Linked DNA regions of Canis lupus familiaris. The protein of the gene in region 2 purifies or fractionates together with the protein of the main gene of each other region. This does not show direct contact. Links are inferred from orthologs where the notes say so. Each region holds a gene or a part of one and is shown on either strand. Other genes may lie near its edges.

Region 1 (10,804 bases), on a different chromosome or scaffold from region 2:
CAGCTGACACTGAAGTGCTTACAGCCTACGTGGATCATCACACCGCATGAGAGTCATTGGATGGACTAAAGGTACAAAAATCTTAAAAGGCAGCTCACAAGGCTCCTTGAAGAGATGGCTGCTTCCAGGTCTGGAGCAGGAACCTGTACAATATAGTAAGGGACACCTTGTGCCAGAAAGCAAGGAAGCTATCAAAGACTAATGGGGTCTTGCCACAAGGACATAGGAACCACTTGAAGGAGCTTCCCAATTGGCCAAGATGACACAATTTGGATATAAAAATGTGGACATAATGGCTACAATGGACTGAAACATGTCAAATATATTTTTAAAAAAAACCCAAAACTTGAGTTCATAATGATTTACCAATTTAAAAGAACAGAGGACAAAGGAACATGTTAAATGAAACCACAGGGATGTAAAATCCAAAATATGTGATTTTTTCTATAGAACAAATGACCCAGTTGCTTCAACAAGTAAATGGTATTCAAAACAAAAGGCATAGTAGTCTTATTAACCAAATGCAGTTTATGGGCCTTGCTTGCTTGGAACTGGATTTAAACAAATTAACTGAAAAATGACATTTTATGTGAAAGGGACATCTGAACAGTGAGTATAAGATAACATTGGGTTTGTAAATGATATCATGACTATGACAAAAAAAAAAAAAAAAGGGTCCTCAAAGTGTTATGTACTAGGGATGCATACTGAAGCAATATTATGTGTGTGAGGGAAAGGAGGAGGCCAGGGGCATGAAGGAAGAGATACTGTCAGAGCTGAAGGATGAGTACAAAAGGCTGGTTATTTTCTTCCCTCCAGTTTTCTGTATATTTCCCACTCTAAGGGCTAGAAAGGATGGGGAGATGGGCGCTGGTGGAGAACAACACCAGCTGCATTCTCCAGGCTTCTCCTCCTCTCCTTTCTCGCTGACTTTCCTGCTCTGGCCAACTCATGTGAGAGCTTTCATTTTTCTTTAAATCATACCTTAAAATTCTGACTTTACGTGATGTTTAACAATGTTTATCATTCCTCTGGCTACTCTCAAGCCAAAACATAAGCAAAACTAATTTATGGATTTTAATAACCACTGCTTTTTATGGAAAAGGAAATAGTTTAAAAATACACAAAGGCATCTGGAAGGTGCTCTAAGAACACAAAATTTCAAACTACTCATTACACGTTTACACACGCAACTGTGGATTGGTAACAACAAAAAATTAGATGCCAAAAGTTCTGTATGGCAAAGTCTGAAGAAGCAACATAGATATTTAGAAATAGAAAGAAGGAAATAGAATGCTGGCATCAAACACATGCACTGACTCATGCTTTGTCTAAACAAGTTTGAACTTGGGGGAAGTGTTAAACCACAGAGATATGAATCAGAGAGAGGCAAGCTATAAAGCAAAGGGGTAGGAGAGCAAGCTGATTCACGCCAATAGTCATGCTACTAAAAGGCCTGTCCGCCAATTTAATAGAACAGCACCAATGCTGGGACAAACAGATGCACACCAGACCCAGAGCTGGCAAACAACTCTTGTGTGAAACGACAGGGGGTGACCTTGCCAATCAGGAAGGCTTTTTTTTTTTTTCAGATTTTATTTATCTATTCATGAGAGACAGAGAGAGTGAGAGGCAGAGACACAGGCAGAGGGAGAAGCAGGCTCCCTGTGGAGAGCCCCATGCAGGATTCAATCCCAGAATCACAACCTGAGCCAAAGGCAGACACTCAACCACTGAGCCACCCAGGTGCCCCAAGGGTAGGATCACTATTGAGGGAGGAAAGGATTTTTCTTTCGTTTTAAAGTTTTGAGTTTTTAGGCTTTTTTGGTTTTTGTTTTTTGATACCAACAGACTTGATACCAACAGACTACCAATAAATGCCTCCTTAGTTCCTGGAAGATGCACTGTGAATTACCAACTAAGCAGGTTAATGAGTGGATACACACAGGTAAAAAGCAAAGGGTAGACTTCATAAATGTGTTCTTTGTTGATGGAATAAAGTAACGCTACATAGTACTCAAGATCCACTTCCTAGGCAGCTCCTACTGCCTCACAGTGTGCATGTCTCCCTGAACAAGAGGTCTTTAAACACATCATTTAACTGATAGTTCATATAAATAAACTTTTAAAATCCAGAGAATAGGAATAAAACCACAGAAGACTTTTTTCCTTCTGTTATATAGGATCTGAGAATTTAATTAAAGGCTCACAATTCACCAACCTTGAAATTCCCATGGGCATTTTCGAATTCAATTTAGCTCACTGGCTGAATTTTAAGGAGGGAAATGTGTTTAAGATGTATGGAAAAATGGACTGACTGAACCATAGAGAAAACACGTTCCCACATTTACCATCCTGTTTTTGCCCAAGACTTCTTTCCTTTTTATTTTTCAACTGAGAATATACATTTGTTACATTGTACATACCCTTTCAATAACATGAACAAAATATTCTGTTGAGTGCAGATATATTCGACAGTAGGAGTTCTTGTACCAATTTGTCTTCTGAGAATATTGTTGAAAATTTGAGCCACGTCTTTTTTGCCCTATTAGGAATACAATCATTAAAATGTTTACCCGACTAACCACCAAAAAGCCCATCCACCCTCCCAAATAAACTCAAATTAAGGCACTGCATATTTTTAATTATGACTCAATATTTGACTTTAAAATGTTCAGATATTAAATTTTCTTTATTTACAAATCCAAATTCGAAGTTTTAATAGTACACTATTTTTAACATGAGCAGAATGTTCACAAAATGAAATCTTACTACATATAAATTTCAGCCATTTCTAACCCTTAGAATCATGTGGATTCAGGAAAAATTAAACTTTGCTATATGCTTACAATGTTCAGGGATCCAATTCCCACCCATATGGAATAAGCAGTTTCAAATAAAATGCTCACATTGTAAACAATACATATAATTTCCTTTTATAGTGATGAAAGGAAGAGAAGCTGCATTCTACTAGTATTAAAAAAACGAAAGATTCTCTAAGAAGCTGAGCTTTCATGGCAAGTAGACATATCTCATTAAGCTAGGTCTACTTAGGAGAGATTTTATATAGATTAGTAATGAAGGCTCCAAGTACCACATGATGAAGCAGTTCAGACATCAGAATTATACAACTGTACTTTACTAAACAAAATAGGACATTACTGCTATACAGTGAATCTTATAATCAGAAAACTGCACAAGAGATTACCAAATGGAAAACAGAACCCCATGAGATTCTTCAGAGTGGCTACCTGTTAAGAGGCTGACAAGCCTGTAGGAAAGTGAGTGAAATGCTAGCTTTCCAGGGCTAGAGATCATCCTGGGGCCTGTGCTAGGTGAGGAGAAGCAATAGCAATCTCTAAGAACACATCTCAAGGACACACACTTCTTTTAAATTTAAGCCTCTAAAGTCCTGAATATTAAATTCAGCGTTCAGGTCGGGGAATGAGAAGGGTGGACAAAGCTGAAGGAAGTGGAGGTTCTAGTGCACTGGCAACTTTGCAGAGGAAATAAAGATTGTTGTTGGTGGAATCTGATACACTATTAGAAATACATAATCATCCATATAAAGGGAAATATTTTTATCTGTTCTATAGAAGTCAATTTTTACTGTCCTTTATTATCAATATTATTCTCAAGTAACCTAGGAACCACACCCTCCCATCACTCTCCAAAACTGAATCTGACTATACGTCTGCCATTCTCTCCCCTGGTTTTTCAAGCACCTGCACAGACATCTAATTGGTCACTCAGGATGAAAAACACTGGGGCTTTAAAAACAAAGCCATGACAAAGACTCAGAGGAACCTGCTCATTCATAACCATGCTAAGAGCCCTTCATTACCATATATACCTCATTACCATATATACTTCTCAGTCTACCTTTCAGACTGGTATCAAAGACCATTATTCTCACTGCTAAATTCACTAAATATCTAATATGACATGATTCAGCTATATAAACTTGGGTAATAATATCAAATGCCCACCAGGGCCAGGCAAGAGACAGTATGTTGGGTAAAGCAGGCCCTGAGACAGAAAAGCAAGCTGCTCTCTGCAGCACACCCAAGTGTGCCCATGGGGTGGTAGCTGCTCTGTTCCAGCTGAGGGGCCATATAGGCACACTGACTCAATGCTGCCAGAGTCAAAATTTTCAAGGGAAGCCAGAGAAATTCAAAACTGCATAAAAAATCTCCTGCTATTTAACCGTTATGCTAATTTAAACATTTAAAAGCAGAGCTAAGCACAAGCAAACAGAACATATCATCTCTGCTGTAATGAGTTCTCAGCAGGTTAAAAAAACAAAACAAAAAACCCTAAAACACAACTGGGTATCTCCTAAGATCTCTCTACCTCTAACATTCTATGGTCTTCTTTAGGTTGCTGACTCCCTGAGAACCCAAGGCCAGTGAATTACGTAAAACAGCAGCTATTTATTAAATATAATGTAAACAAAAGGGCACAACGAATACCTAAGAAACTTCATATACAGTGTGGTGAAACAGGAGGCGACCTGGCCTAAGCCTGAGGCAGCCCTGAGCTCCTGCCCGGCTCTGCTAATTAGGCAGGCAGCCTGGGCATGCTTACAGGTCAATAACCCTGGAGCCAAGAGCCTGGCAGGAATCTTAGGATCTTTCAGAGGCGAGAACACCAGGAAAAGGACCATGAAGAAGGCACCATTTTTGGAAAAAAAAAAAAAAAAATTTGATTTCTTACCTCAAAGTCAATGAGCTGTAAATCAGCTACCAGTGTGCTCAGGAGCCCACTGTTATATAGTTCCTGAGCGAGCTGTGCCACTGCTTCCGTCTGCGGCTCTTTTTCATTCGTGCCATACAGGATTTCTTTCATGGCAACCAGATTTTTGGAAACTTCTTCTGTGGCCTAATTTTGAGGGAGAGGAGAAAAACCATTCATTTAAAAAAAAAATATGTAAAAAACCTACCTTTGTAAAATACCTTCCCTCTAGATTATATACCCACAGAGCTATGTAAAAGACACAAAGGTGGGCAAGCCCCGTCCCAGCCCTTGGGAGCTGAGCACTGGGCACATATGACACATGTGGAGACTGACATATGTGTTCAAGAGGGAAGGCCAGCAGATACACAACATATATGCCTAAATGCTGCCAACAGTTTATTATGGTAGAAACTGACCAGGGAGAGAAGGTTCGACTCTGCCTCCCATGGGAGAGCAACGTCACAGAAGAGGCCAAAGTGGAGCCTGAGAATGGAGAGACACTGATGAGCAAGAACGAGGGAGGAGGAGATGGACGGACAGGAATGGCATGAGCTGGAGATGAGGGAGGGGACAAGCACAGAGTCTGCCTGAGGAAAGGTGCAGAGGGAACAAGGGAATGACAGAAGGTGGCTCTGAATGCAGAGTTGAGATATTAGCAATAAATTAAAAAAAAAAACAAAACACACTGAAGAGTCTCCACGTCTGGCTAAGAGAGAGGAACAAGAGCCAGATTTACCCTCCTCCATGAAAAAGATAAAAAAACAGGAGAAGTGACATGAAACAATGCATCTTAAACACTGAACTTCAGACAGCACAGGATGGTGAGCCTTGAGAGAAGGGAAACAAATGAATTTAATTCACAAGTGCCCTGGCTTACCACCTGGAGAGCTTCCAGGCCACAGCACAGGGAGGGCATGCGGTCTCCAGGGGTTGAGACAGCACTGGGACTCGGCAGGGCAGAGTACCAGAGAGGAGAGAGGTGTGCAAACACACACTGCTTCTTCAGCAGGGTACTGAGAAGCCGGTGTGTGTGAGGAACACACCCAAGTCAGGGAGCAGCCGAGCTCTTTCAGGGTGACCTGCCCATCTCTTGTCTTTTCCAGAAAAACTTCCTCTCAGCTTCTTTATTCTTTTAAGAAAAGGAGGGCTAATGTTCCAATCCCATTAGGATGGAATGATGCACAAGACACTAGATCACGATTTCCCTATAAATGTCACAAATGTTAATGTAGCCTGATGGTACCATCAAGAATTTCTGCAATTAACTCATAGAATTCATTCGAAGCCAGGTCTTTGAGTGATCTGCAATGGAGGCTTTAACTCTTTTCACTATTTCATTTAACCTCATTAACAGCCCATTGTTCAACACTGTGGAGGTATTTCTAGATTCTGAAGGACATCCAACATACCAGCTATCATTCTCATATCTGCATTTTCTGCAAATCTGATAGTATACCTCCCACGGCCTCAATCATTAACCAAGACATCGAAAAGGAAATAACTCTAAATGGAACCTACCATTATGCCTTTGAATCATCATGCTTTTCATTACGATCTACTAATAATCTTTGCACACGGTCCCTTAGCCACTTATATATAAACCTATTTCCAAATCAAATTCAAAAGGCTTTTTGTTAAATACTTGGATATAAGATAATTTAACATTTGACCCTTGAACAAGGTGCTAGCCCACTCATACGTGTTTTTCATAGGACAATACTATATTTTCTCCTCATGATTTACTTAACATTTTCTTTCCTCTAGCTGACTTTATTGTAAGAACATAGTATACCGTATATGTAGTGTACAAAATGTGTTAACTGTTTATGTTATCAGCAAGGCTTTTGGTCAGCAGTAGGTAGGCTACTAGTATTAAGTTCTAAGGCAGTCGAGAGTTGTATGTGGATTCTGACCTGGTGGGGGGCTTGGTGCCTCTTACCCCTGTGTTGTTCAAGGGTCAGCTATATACTATTTCTTCCACATTTCCTGAATATAAGACAATGAAATAAAGTTAATTTGGTAGTCCTTTTTCCTAAGCATATGCTTAGGATTATGACTTTCTTTTCTAAATGTTTAAAATCATCCCAATAATCCCTATGGAAAACCTTCCATTATCAGTGTTCAGCAGAATCTTTACCTTCTCCCGTCAAGCTGTTACCACCCTATTCTTTCAACACCTTAGATTTCCTTCTTTCTTTTCTTTCTCTCTCTCTCTCTCTCTTTTTTCTTTCTTTCTTTCTTAGATTTTATTTATTTATTCATGACAGACAGAGAGAGAGGCAGAGACACAGACAGAAGGAGAGGGAGGCTCCATGCAGGGAGCCTGACGCGGGACTCGATCCCAGGTCTCCAGGATCACACCCTGGGCCGAAGGAGGCGCCAAACCGCTGAGCCACCGGGGCTGCCCAACACCTTAGATTTCTAACAGCAGTTCATCCCTTATACCAAGTTAAAGTACCCCAAAATGTACTTTTTGGGAGCCAGTAGATAAAATCATTTATCAACAGAAAATGTTCTCTTATAAACTATTACATATGTTACTTCTGTAATTTCATTTTACCAACTTTATTCTTAAGATGATTTTCTCTGACAAGGAAGAGCCCGGCATTTAGTGTGTTTCCTGTGTGTATTATCTGTTGATTTTATACCAGTGCTTCTCTGACTAGATCACAGTTTTGAGTCTCTTGGCAACCTTTCATATGCCTCAGCTTACATAGCCTCTTCTTTGAAATCATGATACAATTTTATTATTATTATTTTTAAAGATTTTATTTATTTATTCATGAGAAACATAGAGAGAGGCAGAGACACAGGCAGAGTGAGAAGCATTCCCTGCAGGGAGCCTGATGCAAGACTCGATCCCGGGATCATGACCTGAGCCAAAGGCAGATGCTCAACCACTGAGCCACCCAGGTGTCCCAAAATCATGACAGGATTTTAGATCTGAATTCAGACCATACTCTGTGCTCTCTTCTGACAGCAAGATGAATAAGAAAGGAGGGAGGTGATAGGTAAAAGGCCTGAGGTTTCTTTTTGAAGTGATGAAATGTTCTAAAATTGACTGTGGTTATGGTTGCACATTATCTGTGAATAAACTAAAAACCACTGAAATGTACACTTTAAATGGATGAATTATATGTGTGAGTTATCTCAATAAAGCTATTAAAAAATAGGGAGGAGAGAAACAAGGAAACAGAAAGCAACTTATGGCATTTCTCAGATGAATGGCCACCTGGACCCCCATGTAAAGCCCTTTTCTTTCCTCTCAGAAGACAACACTGTCACCTATATTATGGGCTGGGGGGTTGGGACACCAATAGCATTCCCATATCTGCTAACCACTGTACTATGTCTGTTTTTGTTGATCCTCCTGGATTCCGTTCACTTTCTGGCTTTCTTAGGACCTGACCTGCTTTCTCACCTCCTTCTCATATAGCCAACTCCCTCACTTGATTTTTTCCCCTTCAATCAGTTTTAAATATGGTCAAGACTCCCATTAAACCGTTAAAAAGCATCTACCTGTGTGTGCTCTAGTCCACATCTCCTTCCCAGTCGCTCCCAGCCTAATCCCACGTGGTTTCTCCACCTAGTACTTTACAGTTCTTAGCAAGTCACTAATGACTTGCCCGCCAGGAAATACAATTCTCTGTCTTTAGTACATGTTAGCTCTTGGCAGCATCTGAAGGTGCTGATTACACCCTTCTTTTAAAACTGCTCCTCCCTCGTCCTCTGTGACTCACCACCATCCTCATTTTTCCTGCCTGTCTCCTTGGTTGCTCCTTTTGCCTCCTTCTTGGCTCATATCCCTCTTGATGAGACCATTTAAATATTGGGAATTCCTCAAGGCAGGGTACAAGGCCTATTCTTCTCATTCTATCATCTCTCCCAAGTGATGTCATCCACACCCACAGCTTTAATTAACACCTCAATGCAGATGCCTCACAGATTCCTATCTCTAATCCAGTTTTCTTACTAGTACATTCAGCAGCCTACTTGAAATGTCTCCACTTGAATGTCTCAAGGTACCTCAAACCTAACGCAATCAAAAACAGAACTCATGATTTTGCCCTAATGCCTAATACTCTTCCCTTGGTCTCTATTTCAGGGAACGATACCACTACTGATGCTCTTATGCATGTCAGAAACTCAGAAGCCATCCTCAACCCTTCCCCCTCTTTCTCACTCCACCCCAATATCTAATTAATCACCATGTCTCCCAAATCCATCCATTTATCCGCATACCATGACCCCCCACGTCAGAGTCCCCACAACTCTTGCCTGGACTACTATAAGTAGTCCACTGACTGACTTCCTTGATTCCCTATAAGCCATTCTCCATATTAAGAACAGAATGATCCTTTCTTAACACAAATAGGATTGTTGTTACCTCTGCTTCAAAAATGCTCCAATTACCTATGCTCTTGGGATAGAGAAAATTTCTTAACACAGTCTGTAAAACCCTGCAATGTCTGACCCTCCTTGTCTGACCTTAGTCTGCACTACAATTCCTCCCCCACTATCTCTAAGCCACTACTCTGGTCACACTGGTATCCTTTCAGGATACCTGCACATGTGGTTTCCTAGGCCTATGCCCTGCCTCCACCTCCTGGCCATTCACATTCTTCCTTCATTGCTCAGGTCAATGATCACTTCCTCAGAGGAGTCTTTCTTGTTAAATTCTATAATACATTCGACACTACCACATACTTCTTTTCTCACAGTTGTAGTTCTGCTTTTCCTTGTGATTTCTAGGTTAATGTATTTCCTCCTGCTCCATCAGGAGCCCAGTGCTTGCAGTGTTGCCATACATGCTTGACAAATGGTTGAAAATCCGCATACTCAATCACTGAGATATTAAAAAAAGATCCAGATGAAAACTGGATGTAGAGAAATGTGATGTTATCACACCATGAAGGCAAGGAATTCCTAAAATACACAGTGTATCCAAGCAAGGCAATTTACGTGACAGCTACAGCAGCAAGCAATGAACATAAATCCTGGTGTTCTCACAGAGAATAATCTGGAAGAAGACACCCCAAACTGAGCATAGTCTTCCTATTGTAGACAGGTAAGAAGAATATTTTGTTTTCACTTGCTCTACTTCAGATGTTATGTTTCACAATTCACATTTTACTTTTACATCCATGGTTAGTTGCCATCTACAGAAGATAATCAGCAGCAAAAAATCTATAGATTTTTTTTAGATTTTATAAAAATCTAAAACTCATCAACCTTATTACTTATTAGCAGTCCTGATATACAGGAGATTAAGCTCATATTTCAAATGATGACTTTTAATTTTATGCATATTTCAACTACTTCTGTGCTTTCTGTTCCCCATTACATGGATAATTATAAGCTGATTAAATAAAATCATCAAAAAATAAAAAATAAAAAAGAAACATGTCCAAATTTTACTAAAAGATGATCAGAAAACCTTAAGAAGTATTTTACCAGAAAAGGTGATGTGGCAAGTGTCTACTGAATGAAGATAGCCGAGAAAACAAATAAACTTGTCTGTTCTTGTGTAGGTCTGGGTTGGCATCCTTCTTCGGCATTCACAGCAGGGAGGCTGCCTCGTCCCTGGTCTCTGGCCTGCTGGCATTAAGTCAACACGTTCTCTGCCTTTCTGACCACATCCCCTGATTGCACCTCCCTGTCTGTCCCCTCACACCTAATGAATAAGCGAGTCACACTTACCGCTTCTCTAAGCACTATGCCTTCTCAAGATGCTGAGCCCATCATGTCACCTAGTCCACTGGGCTCCTTAACGAGCACATCACCTGTCCTGCTAAGACACCAGGTTTCAGTGCTACCCATGCCCACAGCAACAGTCTCTTGTTCCCCTATATGTTGGATGTCCTTCATTGAAACGTTCTTTACTTCAGCTCCCAGGGTTCTGAGCACTGCAGAGAAACTGCTGGAAACTTGTGCACACTTAGTTTGCTAAAATCCATGCTGTTCGACAGCCTTCAATCCAGTCAGAAACATTTCTTCAAATTGGATTATATCCAGCCAGTAACTCCTAGCAGCAGAGCTTTCAAAATTACTCTTATTTTCCTCAAGA
Region 2 (11,484 bases):
GAGCCTGGTTTCCTTGAACTTTACTCCATGTACCTCCTTCCTCCACTGATTTTGCTTTGTGTTCTTTGTCTGTGACAAAACTTAATTATGACTATAAGACTAAGTTTTACAAGTCCTCCTAGCAAATCACCAAACGTGGAGGTGGTCTTAGGCAGACCTCTAATATAGTTACCAAAATATATTCAAGCCTATAAAAATTTTTCTAAAAAATGTCCATCACTTAAATTAAAAAATTAATTTGAGACATATTAGGCATATTGTTAGAGGCACCAGGGTGGTGCAGTCATTGAGTGTTGGACTCAGGTTTTGGCTCAGGTTATGGTCTCAGCATTGTGGGACTGAGCCCTGCGACAGGTTCCATGCTCAGTGAGGAATCTGCTTAGGACTCTCTCCCTTTCCGTCTGCCTCTGCCTCTGCCCCTACCCCCTGTGCACTCAATCTCTCTCTCTAAAATAAATCAATAGGGGGTCCCTGGGTGGCTCAGTGGTTTAGTGCCTAAAACCACTAAACCTCTGGCCCAGGACGCAATCCTGGAGTCCTGGGATTGAGTCCTGCATCGGGCTCCCGGCATGGAGCCTGCTTCTCCCTCTGCCTGTGTCTCTGCCTCTCTCTCCCTCTATGTCTATCATGAATAAATAAATCAATAAATCTTTAAAAAATAAATAAATAAAATAAATCAATAAATCTTTAAAATTAAAAGACACATTGGGCACACTTTAAAAAACTTAGATTGACCCTAATTCATTCTCAAGAGTAGTGATCCATGTTTTTGGTTTATAGAAATAGGAAAACATTTTATAAAATAATATGGTGGACCTTCATATTGCATTACCTTTATACAGAATTTTCACAGTGCAAGAAAGTGATCACTAATGTGAAGACAGCTAAAACCAACCAATACTATAAGGCAAAATGTTTTTGCTGACTTCTAAAAAATGTTAGCATGTTCATTAGCTGTTCAAGTTATAAAAGTCATAAAACACTCATAGCTTATTCTTCCAAACATTTTTTATATCCACAATGAATCAATGAGATGCTGATGAATAGCCCATGAAATATATATACATTAAGGTCTTTTAGACAGCACACATAGTATTAAAACCATCCAGAAGCTGCCTTAAAATATTTTTAATGTAATTTTTAAATCTACTACCATAATAGCCAAATGTAAAGCAGTTATATCTACTAGGGCATCTAAAGGAAAATATTTGACTGATGTTGCTCCTTTGAAAACACTATTTCTTAGCTCTCCAACAGAGGAAAAAACTTGAATGAGGAAGAATCCTTCATAAGTATAAACATCAATTTTATCTCAGTTGTACAAAAATCTCATGTAGGAAAATATTCAAAGAATTCTAAATATTTCATCATTACAGGAAGTATTAAATGTAAAATTATTAACAAACTGAACAAATTTAAATCATACATTAATTTCTATTATTTTTCACAAAACCCATAATTATAGAATAATTGAATAAATAAGATACTCTTTTTCCAAAATTTAGAAGCCCTGAGAATCCACACAGTCCTCTAAATCTCTGGATCTTCTTCTATCAAATGCCCTTTTACAACTCACGCAATTTATAAACTGATATAAAATGGTGAATCTTAAGTAATCCTTTAGAGCAGGGGTCCACAAACCAGTCTGACCCACCACCTGTTTCAGTAAAGAAGGTTTTACTTGAACACATTCATTTTTTTCATTTAAATATTGTCTATGACTGTTTTCACAGCACAAGAACAGAAGAGTAATTTGTTACAAAGACCATATACCACACAAATACTATCTGGTCCTTTACAGAAAATATTGGTTTACCCCAGCACCAGAAAATCAGGTAGGTATTTCACATCAATGTGCTTTATTGATAGATAAAGCTGTCCTTTTTTTTTTTTTTTAAGATTTTATTTTTATGTAATGTCTACCCCCAACACAGGGCTTGAACTTACACCCCAACATCGAGAGTCATATGCTCTACTGACTGAGCCAGCCAGGAGCTCCTAAAGCTCCCCTTTTAAGTAGAGAATCTTTACTTTAAAAATAAAGTAAGTGCATTCTGTATATTTCATATAACAAATTATACAATAAATCCAACAAATCCATTCTGTATTTCCTCACTTCATAGTTCTCTCAGACTTGGTAAATGATGGAGTGGATTGGCAGATATGAATTTGAGCCCTGGCAATCTTGGGCCAAACTCAAAACAAGATTAAACCACCTGCCCTACCAATCACTCATAATTTTGAAGACTGAAAGAGATATATAAAAGTATTTATAAACTGCAAATCATCATACAAATGTACCCATCACTTTTTAAAAGATCACTACTTTAATCAAGTCAGATATTGTATTATGTTCTATAGAAGAAGATATGATGAAAGACCTGAAACTACTTAATTTAAGTAATATTTTCGGTAGGTTGAATATTTTTTACCATATGATTCTTGGTTCTCAATCTAGATGCCATGGATCTAGTATAAACAAAAAACAAGCTGTAATCTATATATCATACTATACATTGATCCAACTGTATTCTATCTTGTTGTTAAGAGGCTGATTTTTAGTATTATTCTGTTTGCCTTTGGTCTAGTGGAAATTTGTAAAAGGGATTTTTGAAAGATTTAAGGATAAGATAGCTAACTAGATGGGAGAGGCATATCTAAGTACAGTAAAGGTATGGAAAAAAGTGGGATGGGACAAAGGAAATGAACGATGAATATATCAGAAAAGTATAGGAGAAGCTCTTTTTTAAAGCAACAAAAACTCAATGAGAATTTAACTCATTTCTTAAGACCAAAAGCCATTCAGGTCAAAATAACATCTCAGCATAACAGTATCTCATCAGAATTTGCCTTCAATTATGGCTCTGCACTAACATCTAACTACTCTGATAGTACCAAATTAGATCTATGCTTTTTTTTTTTTTTTTTTTTTAAGATTTCTTTATGGGATGCCTGGATGGCTCAGTGGCTGAGCACCTGCCTTCGGCCAAGGGAGTGATCCTGGAATCCCAGGATCCAGTCCCACACTGGGCTCCCCGCATGGAGTCTACTTCACTCTCTGCCTATGTCTCTTATGAATAAATAAATAGAATCTTTAAAAAAAGAGATTTATGTTATTTCATCTTATTTTTTAAAGATTTATTTATTTGAAAGAGAGGGAGAGGAGAAAGAATGTATGAGCAGTGCTGAAGAGCAAAGGGAGAAGAAGTAGACTCCCTGCTGAGCAGGAAGCCCTACTTGGGGCTCAATTCCAAGACCCTGAAAGCAAGACCTAATGGCAAACACTTAACTGAGCCATCCAAGCATCTCTTATTTATTGTCTTGGCCTGGGTGTGGGGGTGGAGCTTGCAGGGAGAGAGAATCCCAAGCCTATGTCTTACAGAGCAGGGAGCCTGACCTAAGGATCTCACAACCCTGAGATCATGACCAGAGCAGAAACCAAGAGTCAGAGGCATAAGGGACTGCGGGACCCACATGTCCTGAAATTAAATCTGTGTTAACACAAACTTACCAAGAGAGACATTGAATCTTTTTAGTTCACAGAAGATGTCAAAAACCCATCTACTCCAAAAGATTTTTGCTTTATCTTCAAGATGAAGAAATATTCTGTTATAAAAAACAAAAGCAAAATTTAGATTTACATAAAAGCTCCTGGAAGAACTAGTTGCTATAAACCCATATGATATTTAGGCAGCTATTCTTTGATACAACAACTGGAGACATTTCTGAAAAGTGTCTTTAAAGAGTGTTTCTTTTTATGTAACACTATTTGATCTGCCATCACAACAGAAAGGCAGAGTGAAGTTGAAGGGAGATTCTGAGTATTTCCAAAGACCAATATACCTGCATCTCTCCTTCCCTATTTTTTCTGTACTACTTTTTTTAAAGAAACTTAAGGGCAGCCCCAGTGGTGCAGCAGTTTAGTGCTGCCTGCAGCCCGGGGTGTGATCCTGGAGACCCAGGATCGAGTCCCACATCGGGCTTCCTGCATGGAGCCTGCTTCTCCCTCTGCCTGTGTCTCTGCCTCTCTCTTCGCTCTCTCTGAATGAATAAATAAATAAATCTTAAAAAAAAAAAAAAGAAACTTAAGCAAATGTGAAAGCAATATAGAAAATCAATGTTGGACCCATTAGAATTTCCAATGATTCTAGTTATAAGTAAACGTTGAAGGTTCCAAAGCTTCCTGATTGGATTAATTGCCAATTAAGTCATTTGGGGTCCATGATTAGCAAATTTGGGAAACAATCTGCATTAGCAACACACTAGGAATTAACATTTACTCGTTGTCACATGTTTTTAAAAGAGAAATTTCAGTCTTAACATAAAATAATATTTCTGAAGACTGAATATTTTTAACACAATTCTTAGTTCTCTGTTCTTCCTAGAATTTGACATATATGAAAGATATGAAATTATACAAGTAATTCCTGTCCACTATCACTAGTAGAGTATTAACCTCAATAGTTTATGAAGACTGCAACAGATTCAGAAGTTTAAAATAGCAACTTCTTTAGAGTTAAAGAACTACAAGGGCACCACCAAAACTTTCCAGATTTTTCCTAACAGAAAGGGTGGCAATGTTCTGAACTTCCTAGTGCTGGGTGTTTCCTTATAACTAAGGAATATCTCTTTCTTGTTAATTGTGGTTTATTATTTCATTTTAATGAAATCCCCAAGTTTAATCAAGGTCCCTGCAAATATCTAACTAAGCGAAAAGAAAAGGAAGATTTTGTAAACAATACATATTATACAGCAGTATCCAATTTTACTGTTAAGGAAAGATATGAATTTATTCAGAATATTCACTACAAACCAAAAGTAGAGAAGAGGGGGAGGAAAAACCTCAAAGGGTATGATTATTTAGTCACTTGCTATTCATTATCATCAACTTAAGGCAGTGGTATTTGCTGTAATACAAAAGGGGGAAAGCAATACCTGCCCTGCCCACCTTCTGGGGTGATTGAATCAGAGATACTTCATCTGAAAGGGCTCATAACTACCAAATACTGCGCCAATCAATATAAGAGCTCGAGAGGATACTCTGAGAGGTACACTCACATATTACTGGTGGCAGCCGAAAAATGTAAGGCTCACTTGGAAAGCAAGTTGGCAATGTTTCAATAACATGAAAATACTCATACCTTTTGACCCAGTAAAATTCTCACTTCTAGCAATCAACTCTAAGGAAATGTCCAAATAAATGAAGAAACCATACACAGGTAGAAAGTCATGACACCATTAATCCGAAACAGCCAAGTATTCATTCTCTAAGTGCTTAATGAATGGTGACCATGGTCAGGCACTGGGGACACTCACTGGTGATCAGGGCAGACAAGGCCCTGACCACTTGCAGTTCACATTCTCACAGGAAGATTAGGGATGTCGTGATTAATTCAATTTTCTGGTTAACAGGATTTTGTTTCTTGCTTCTTCCACTTCCTATCAGTAAGTTCTTAAACAAGAACAAAAAAACTTTAATTCTGTTACATTATCTATTATTTCAGAAATACTCCGAAGAAACTGACACGATTTTATGAATTGTGAGTACAAAGGAGTAGTTCCACTGAGGTGGTTTAATCCCACAGATTTCTGCTTTAGATATGCCAGATGCTTAAGAGATCATTTTACCAGACATTTTGAGGTCAAGGCAGCAGCTGCACCTGGTAAAGGGTACAGTTTGGGGGCGGGGGGGGGGGGGGGCGAGTAGATTTTCTCCTGCACGCTCTTTCACTAGATGTGAATATAAATCCTTTTTAAAGAAATCATACTTGAGGCCTGTATTTCTAAATATATTACATCAGTGTGGTCCTTTGCATTTGTATCTAACAAGCTAATTAGGGTATAAAGCTTTATAAATAATTTAAATTTGCTCCATTATAGAATAGTTCATCCAAAGACTTTAATATCAAAGGTTAACAATTTCTGTGAAAATCACAGGGCGCATTTATTTACAGAACTCGGGTTTTGAGTTAATTTAGGCATCCAGCAGAGGCTATTGTTATAGGAAACGCAAAAACAACAACAACCCCGATCTCTGCTAAGCCTTAAAATTACTGTAATTTTCAAAGGGACCTTGAGAACCCATAAAATCTCAAAAATTGCAGCGACGCACAACTCGCTATAAGATTCCCCAAACTTAGCAACATGACTCATGCTTTCAAAACAAAATCTTTCCTGAGCGCCTACTGTGCGCCACCCGGACCTGCGCTCGGCAGCCGCCGGGTCACAAAATCCTGACCAAGTTTTCAGGAAAAGGGTGTTTGGCACCACAAAGCCACGAGGGGAAAAACACGACGCTCACTTTAAATACCGGGAACAAAATGAAGCTTGAGCATTTAATTTTGTGAAGAGGCTCCTTCCTCGTCCTGCTTCGAGGAGGCGAACTCGCAGGAGGCGGCACAGAGCCGCGGCCACAGGGTGTCTCCCGCCGGGACGCTCCGCCAGGCTCGAGCTAGCGGCCCGAGGTGCCGGGTGAGGAGGCGGTGAGGAGGGGGCGGGGAGGGGGGGCGGCACCGGGGCCGCGGGCGCCCCGCGCACCTGGCAAGCGCCGCCCACCGCGAGCGCAGGTGCCGCCGCCGCCGCCCGACGGCCCGGGGCTCAGGGGCCGCTCGCCCCGCCAGCCGGACTCCAGACGCCGCCCCGCCCGCCCGCCCGCGGCCAGGGCGTGGGTTCGAGGCGGGGCGGCAAGTTCCAGCCTCGGGCTTCGCGAGGTGCGCGCGGACCGAGCCGCGCTCCCTCAGGCTCCCGACCCGGCCCGACGCCACCCCCCTCCGCCCGGCCTCCCCTCTTTACCCTGGCGGCGACCACGACCGGCGACTCTCCTCAGGAGCCCAACGGAGCGGGGCCCCACGGCCCCGGGAGCCCGGCCCACCGAGGGGGCCCTGCGAGCGCGCGGGCCGCGGGGCGCAGCAAGGCAGCGCGACCCGGCCTCGGGCTGCGGGCCTGGAGCTCTGCCCCCGCCGCGGGCAGCCCGCCCGGACTGGACTCGCCCCAGGGTCGCGGCCCCGCCTCCCGCCGCGGGGCCCGGCGGCCTCGGGGGCGGGGCCTCGTCGCTGAGGGGGCGGGACAGGCGCGCGGCGACTCCGGAGGCGGAGGGGGCGGGCGCTCGGGAAGACCACACTTCCCGGCAGGTAGTGCGCCGACGCCGCGGAGGCTGCCGGGAGAGCGGGTCTCCTCCGCTCTCCTCCGATGTGTGGGGCTGCGGAGGCGCCGGCCCCGCTGCCAAAGCAGAGTCGCCGAGTGATGATGCTGTGAAGTCGCCCTCGGTCCCTGCCACGCCCGGGCGGTTGTGGCAGCGGCAGCCGCTTCGGCTGCAGCTCTCGGGCTGCCGCCGCTTTAGACCCTATTCCCTGAGGGAGCGCGGGCGGAGGACGGAGGACGGAGGACGTCGGGCCATTCCCGTGAGTAACCTTCCCGCGCGTGACTCCAACTTGCCCTTGCCAACTTCCCCGGAAAGCAGGGGAGCCTCCCCGCCCGGAGCTCCTCCCGGTGCCCGGAGGTCACGCGCGGACATCGGAGCCGGGGGCTGGGGATCGCAGGCCTGGGTCTTCGCCGGGCTCCGCCCCGCGAAGGCTTGGTTGGGAAGTGGTTGGTTCCCCAAGTGTGGGTGCGAAGTGATGGGCGCTGGGCTCTGGTCTCCGGGTTCATCCCAGCTGCGCCTGTGAGGATCTCATCCTCTGCCGGAGAGCATCCCCTGGAACCTCCTCCCTGAGTGATGCGCAGCTTTAGTGCCTAAGCCCCGGTCACCATCTGTGATGTGAGCAAACAGAGAGGATATTGCAGAGAGCTCTTTCTATGCTCAGTTGGGTTTTTCTTGCGATTGATTTTGAGCCAGACACCACATATCCTTCAAAAGAAACGGTTCACTTTAGTGTCAGGCGTGAATAATAGATGTTGGCAGATGTCCTCTTTAGTACCAGCGTAAAGATGATCTCCCAAACATTTAAAAGAGTTCTGGGTCTAGTAATAATGGTGAACTCAGTTCATTGCCCACCAACCTTATATTAAAACCTGCATTTTCTGAGCCAGAAAAAAAAAAAAAAAAACAGAGCAGTAACTTTTCACTGGAAATTCATCAAGCTAGAATAGACCATAGGAATAAAATGACATGGACTCTTCTAGTTTTTTAAAAAATTATCTTTCAGCAAAAATTTGTCATGACCTTCACCTCTTTGCTGTAGAATTGAAAGTCTGAGTTACAGTGATCTCCAAATAGCATGTTAATAGCGTTGACGTGACACTTAAGGAATTGTGAAGGGCGTTTGGTGGTGGGAAAGGGCAGGGATGAAGACACTTTATCATCTCAGCAGTTTTTACAGCTTTCTATTTTTAAAGTTAATGTTCAACAATGTCTCAGACATTCAGCAATCACATGTACGAAAGAGAGTGGTTTGTTATTTTACAGATTTTTATTCATACGTTGAAGAAATCATAAGAAAGTACAGTATATGAGTACAAATATTAAAAGTACAAGTATTTGAGTACAGTTGACCCGTGGACAACACCGGGCTGACGAGCACCAACCCCCTGTAGAGTCAAAAATCCATATATAATTTTTGACTCCCTAGAAACTTAACCACTAATAGCCTTTTTGATCAGAAACCTTATTCATAGCATAAACAGTTGTTTAACATATTTTGTGTTATATGTATTACAATTCTGTATTCTTAGAGTAAACTAGAAAAAAGAAAATACATTTACTGTACTGTATCAGAAAACTCAGTGTCTAAGTGCACCCTTGCAGTTCAAACCCAAGTTCAAGTCAGCTGTACTTTCAGTCAGCTGGGCACACCAGTCATGAGCTCTGTGTACATTTGCTCACTTAATCGCTGCAATAACAGAGTGGGTATAATTCATTCTGACAGGTGTCCTTATAAAAAGAACTTTAGAAACAAAAAGAGACACCAAGGATGTGTGCACAGAGAAAAAAAATTATGTGAGAACACACTGAGAGGTTGGATATCTGCAAGCCTCAGAGAGAAACCAAGCTTGCCAATACTTTGATATTCAACTTCTAGCTTCCAGAACTGTGAGGAAATAAACTTGTCTCATTTAACCTACTCTGGTATTTTCTTTTTCTTTTCTTTTTTTTTTTTTTTTTTTTTTTTTACTCTGGTATTTTCTATGGCAGTCCTAACAAACTAATTCAGGGATGTTCTAGCAAAAGGAATGACATACAAAAAGCCGTTAAGGGTGCCAGGTGATTAAGTTTCATGGTAAGAAGTGTTGAGAGTTGAAGTTGGAGATTAGGCTGGGGCCATATTAGGACAATTTTGTATGAAATGCCAAGGAGCTGAACTTTATCATAAAAGGGATAGAATGGAGATGGTTTGTAGCAGAGGAAAAACATTGGATATGCATTTTAGAAAGACTACTCTGACCTTTGTGGAGTATGGATTAAAGGAGATAAGACTGGAAGCATGATCAAAATTAGGTGGAAGCTGAACTAAATATTGTCTCAGAGTATTGAAATGACAAACTAAAACATCTATTGTTAACATAAGGGAGATTTTAAAGGGCACAGCTAACCCTTAGGGCAAACATGGGAGCATTTAGGAAGAATTTGTATGCACCTCTTTGTACCTAGAAACTGGCTTTACTTTTGACATTTTGCTTTCCATAGATAAAGCTTTACTCAACTATCCCAGAATATTCAGTATTTTCCCACTAATAGGCACTTTTGTGGTGCTTACAGTGTTCTAAATCAAGTCTTCTGACAACCTCATGGACTATGTACTATTACTATCTCCATTTTATACTTAAAGATATCAAAGCACAGGGCAGCCCAGGTGGCTCAGTGGTTTAACCCCGTCTTCAGCCCAGGGCCTGATCCTGGAGACCCAGGATCGAGTCCCATGTCGGGCTCCCTGTGTGGAGCCTGCTTCTCCCTCTGCCTGTGTCTCTGCCTCTCTCTCTCTCTCTCTCATGAATAAATAAATAAAAATTAAAAAAGAAAAGATATCAAAACACAGAGGTTAAGTAACTTGCCCATGGTCAATAGCAAATGGCAGTGTTAGATTCAAATTCAAGTAGTCTGTCTTCAGACTATGCTCCTAGCCATTATACTGTATGTTACCATGTATTATTTATCAAGATCTTCAACTACCTAAGAAAGGAAGAGGGAATAATACAAAAATAAATTATGTATGTTGTAGGGAGTATATAGTTTTATTAGAGGAGATAAGGAATAATTATATGATTAAAAATGTTTAGAAGAAAGTGGAGAGTATTGGAAAGTAATCTTACTTCAAGTTGAGGCTTTTGGGAAATCTGGCATTGGGAAAAAAATGGCATTTGAACTAAGATACGAAGAATGGCTAGACTTTGAATATGTTAGAAGGAGGGAGAGATATTAAAGGTAGAAGAAATCACAAGAACAAAGTTATATGATTGGGAATTTCCTAGTATGTCTAGGTAGCTAGTAAATGCAATCCTTTGTTTTGACTGGGCTGTATTATGTGGTTGGAGAATCCAGTTTGGACTTCATGGCGTCACCAAATGTCTGGGACTTATTAGGGAGTGAGGAGCAATGAAAATTGTGAGGTCTGAAGTCAAATGATTGAAGTATATGCCAGATGTAATTATCTTTTAGGAGAGGTTAAAGCTTATCTAGTCCCAACTCATAAGTTAACGAGTTAACACTGTCTTACAGATCCCTCTTACTGTTTCAACTCATTTATGCCTTTATTACAATAATCCAGGCACAATGCAGTAAAAATTTTAAATTATTACTGTCTCTAATCTTTCCATTCTTGAAATTTATCTTGTATTCTGACTCTAGATTTATTTCTGAAATAACATTTTTTAAAAAGATTTATTTTTAAGTAATCTCTACGCCTAATATGGGGCTCAAACTACAACCCTGAGATCACAAGTTGCATGCTCTACCAAGGGTTAGCCAAGCCCCTCAGATGTCACTTTCCATTTAGAAACTTGTTGCCTTGTGCAATCACGTTCAGACTTCTGAATCTGAACTTGTGAAATTCAAAGCTCCAAGTACTTTCCCCTAATCATTCCCACTTAAATTGTTCTGTACACTGCTGCCAAACTGGGTCTGCCTGCTGTTTGCTCTGGGGCTTTTTTTTTTCTTTGTCCTTTACCTACTGGATACTCCCCTTCTCACTATCTGGATCTTTCCATCCTTGAGGAACCCACTTAACATCATACTCCAATGTGAAACCAGATCACTAAAAAAAAAAAAAAAAAAAGAAAAGAAACCAGATCACTTTAGCTAGAAAGCAGTTTTCCCTTCACCTGACTGTATTTAGAACAATTCTGTTCTAATACTCATTAAATACTTATTATCTAGTGGTGTTATCTTCTTCTCTTAGATATCTTAGACCATTAGATCTTAGATTTAATCTAGAGCATGGAACTCAGAAGTTTCCCTAGTAGATCTTAGATTTCTTAAATTTTTAACCTCCCTTAGGGCAGAGGCTACTTTAAAAAAAAAAAAAATCTCTTTTCAGTCTTTCAGCTTAATTC

The links.
Region 1: the proteins of STRADB (region 2) and CAB39 purify together in Homo sapiens (affinity purification with mass spectrometry; 3 studies listed by BioGRID and IntAct, counting the BioPlex papers as one, with this or other methods). This does not show direct contact. The link is inferred for Canis lupus familiaris from reciprocal best matches to the Homo sapiens genes STRADB and CAB39.

Annotation. Positions count from the first base shown.
Region 1 is NC_049246.1:42,954,892-42,965,695, reverse strand, and holds part of CAB39 (calcium-binding protein 39), read right to left. Parts: intron 4,882-10,804; coding exon 4,717-4,881; intron 2,546-4,716; coding exon 2,427-2,545; intron 1-2,426. UniProt on the Homo sapiens protein: Component of a complex that binds and activates STK11/LKB1. In the complex, required to stabilize the interaction between CAB39/MO25 (CAB39/MO25alpha or CAB39L/MO25beta) and STK11/LKB1.
Region 2 is NC_049258.1:10,374,943-10,386,426, reverse strand, and holds the start of STRADB (STE20-related kinase adapter protein beta), read right to left. Parts: upstream 6,981-11,484; 5' UTR 6,793-6,980; intron 6,362-6,792; exon of another isoform or gene 6,302-6,361; intron 3,607-6,301; 5' UTR 3,524-3,606; coding exon 3,512-3,523; intron 1-3,511. UniProt on the Homo sapiens protein: Pseudokinase which, in complex with CAB39/MO25 (CAB39/MO25alpha or CAB39L/MO25beta), binds to and activates STK11/LKB1.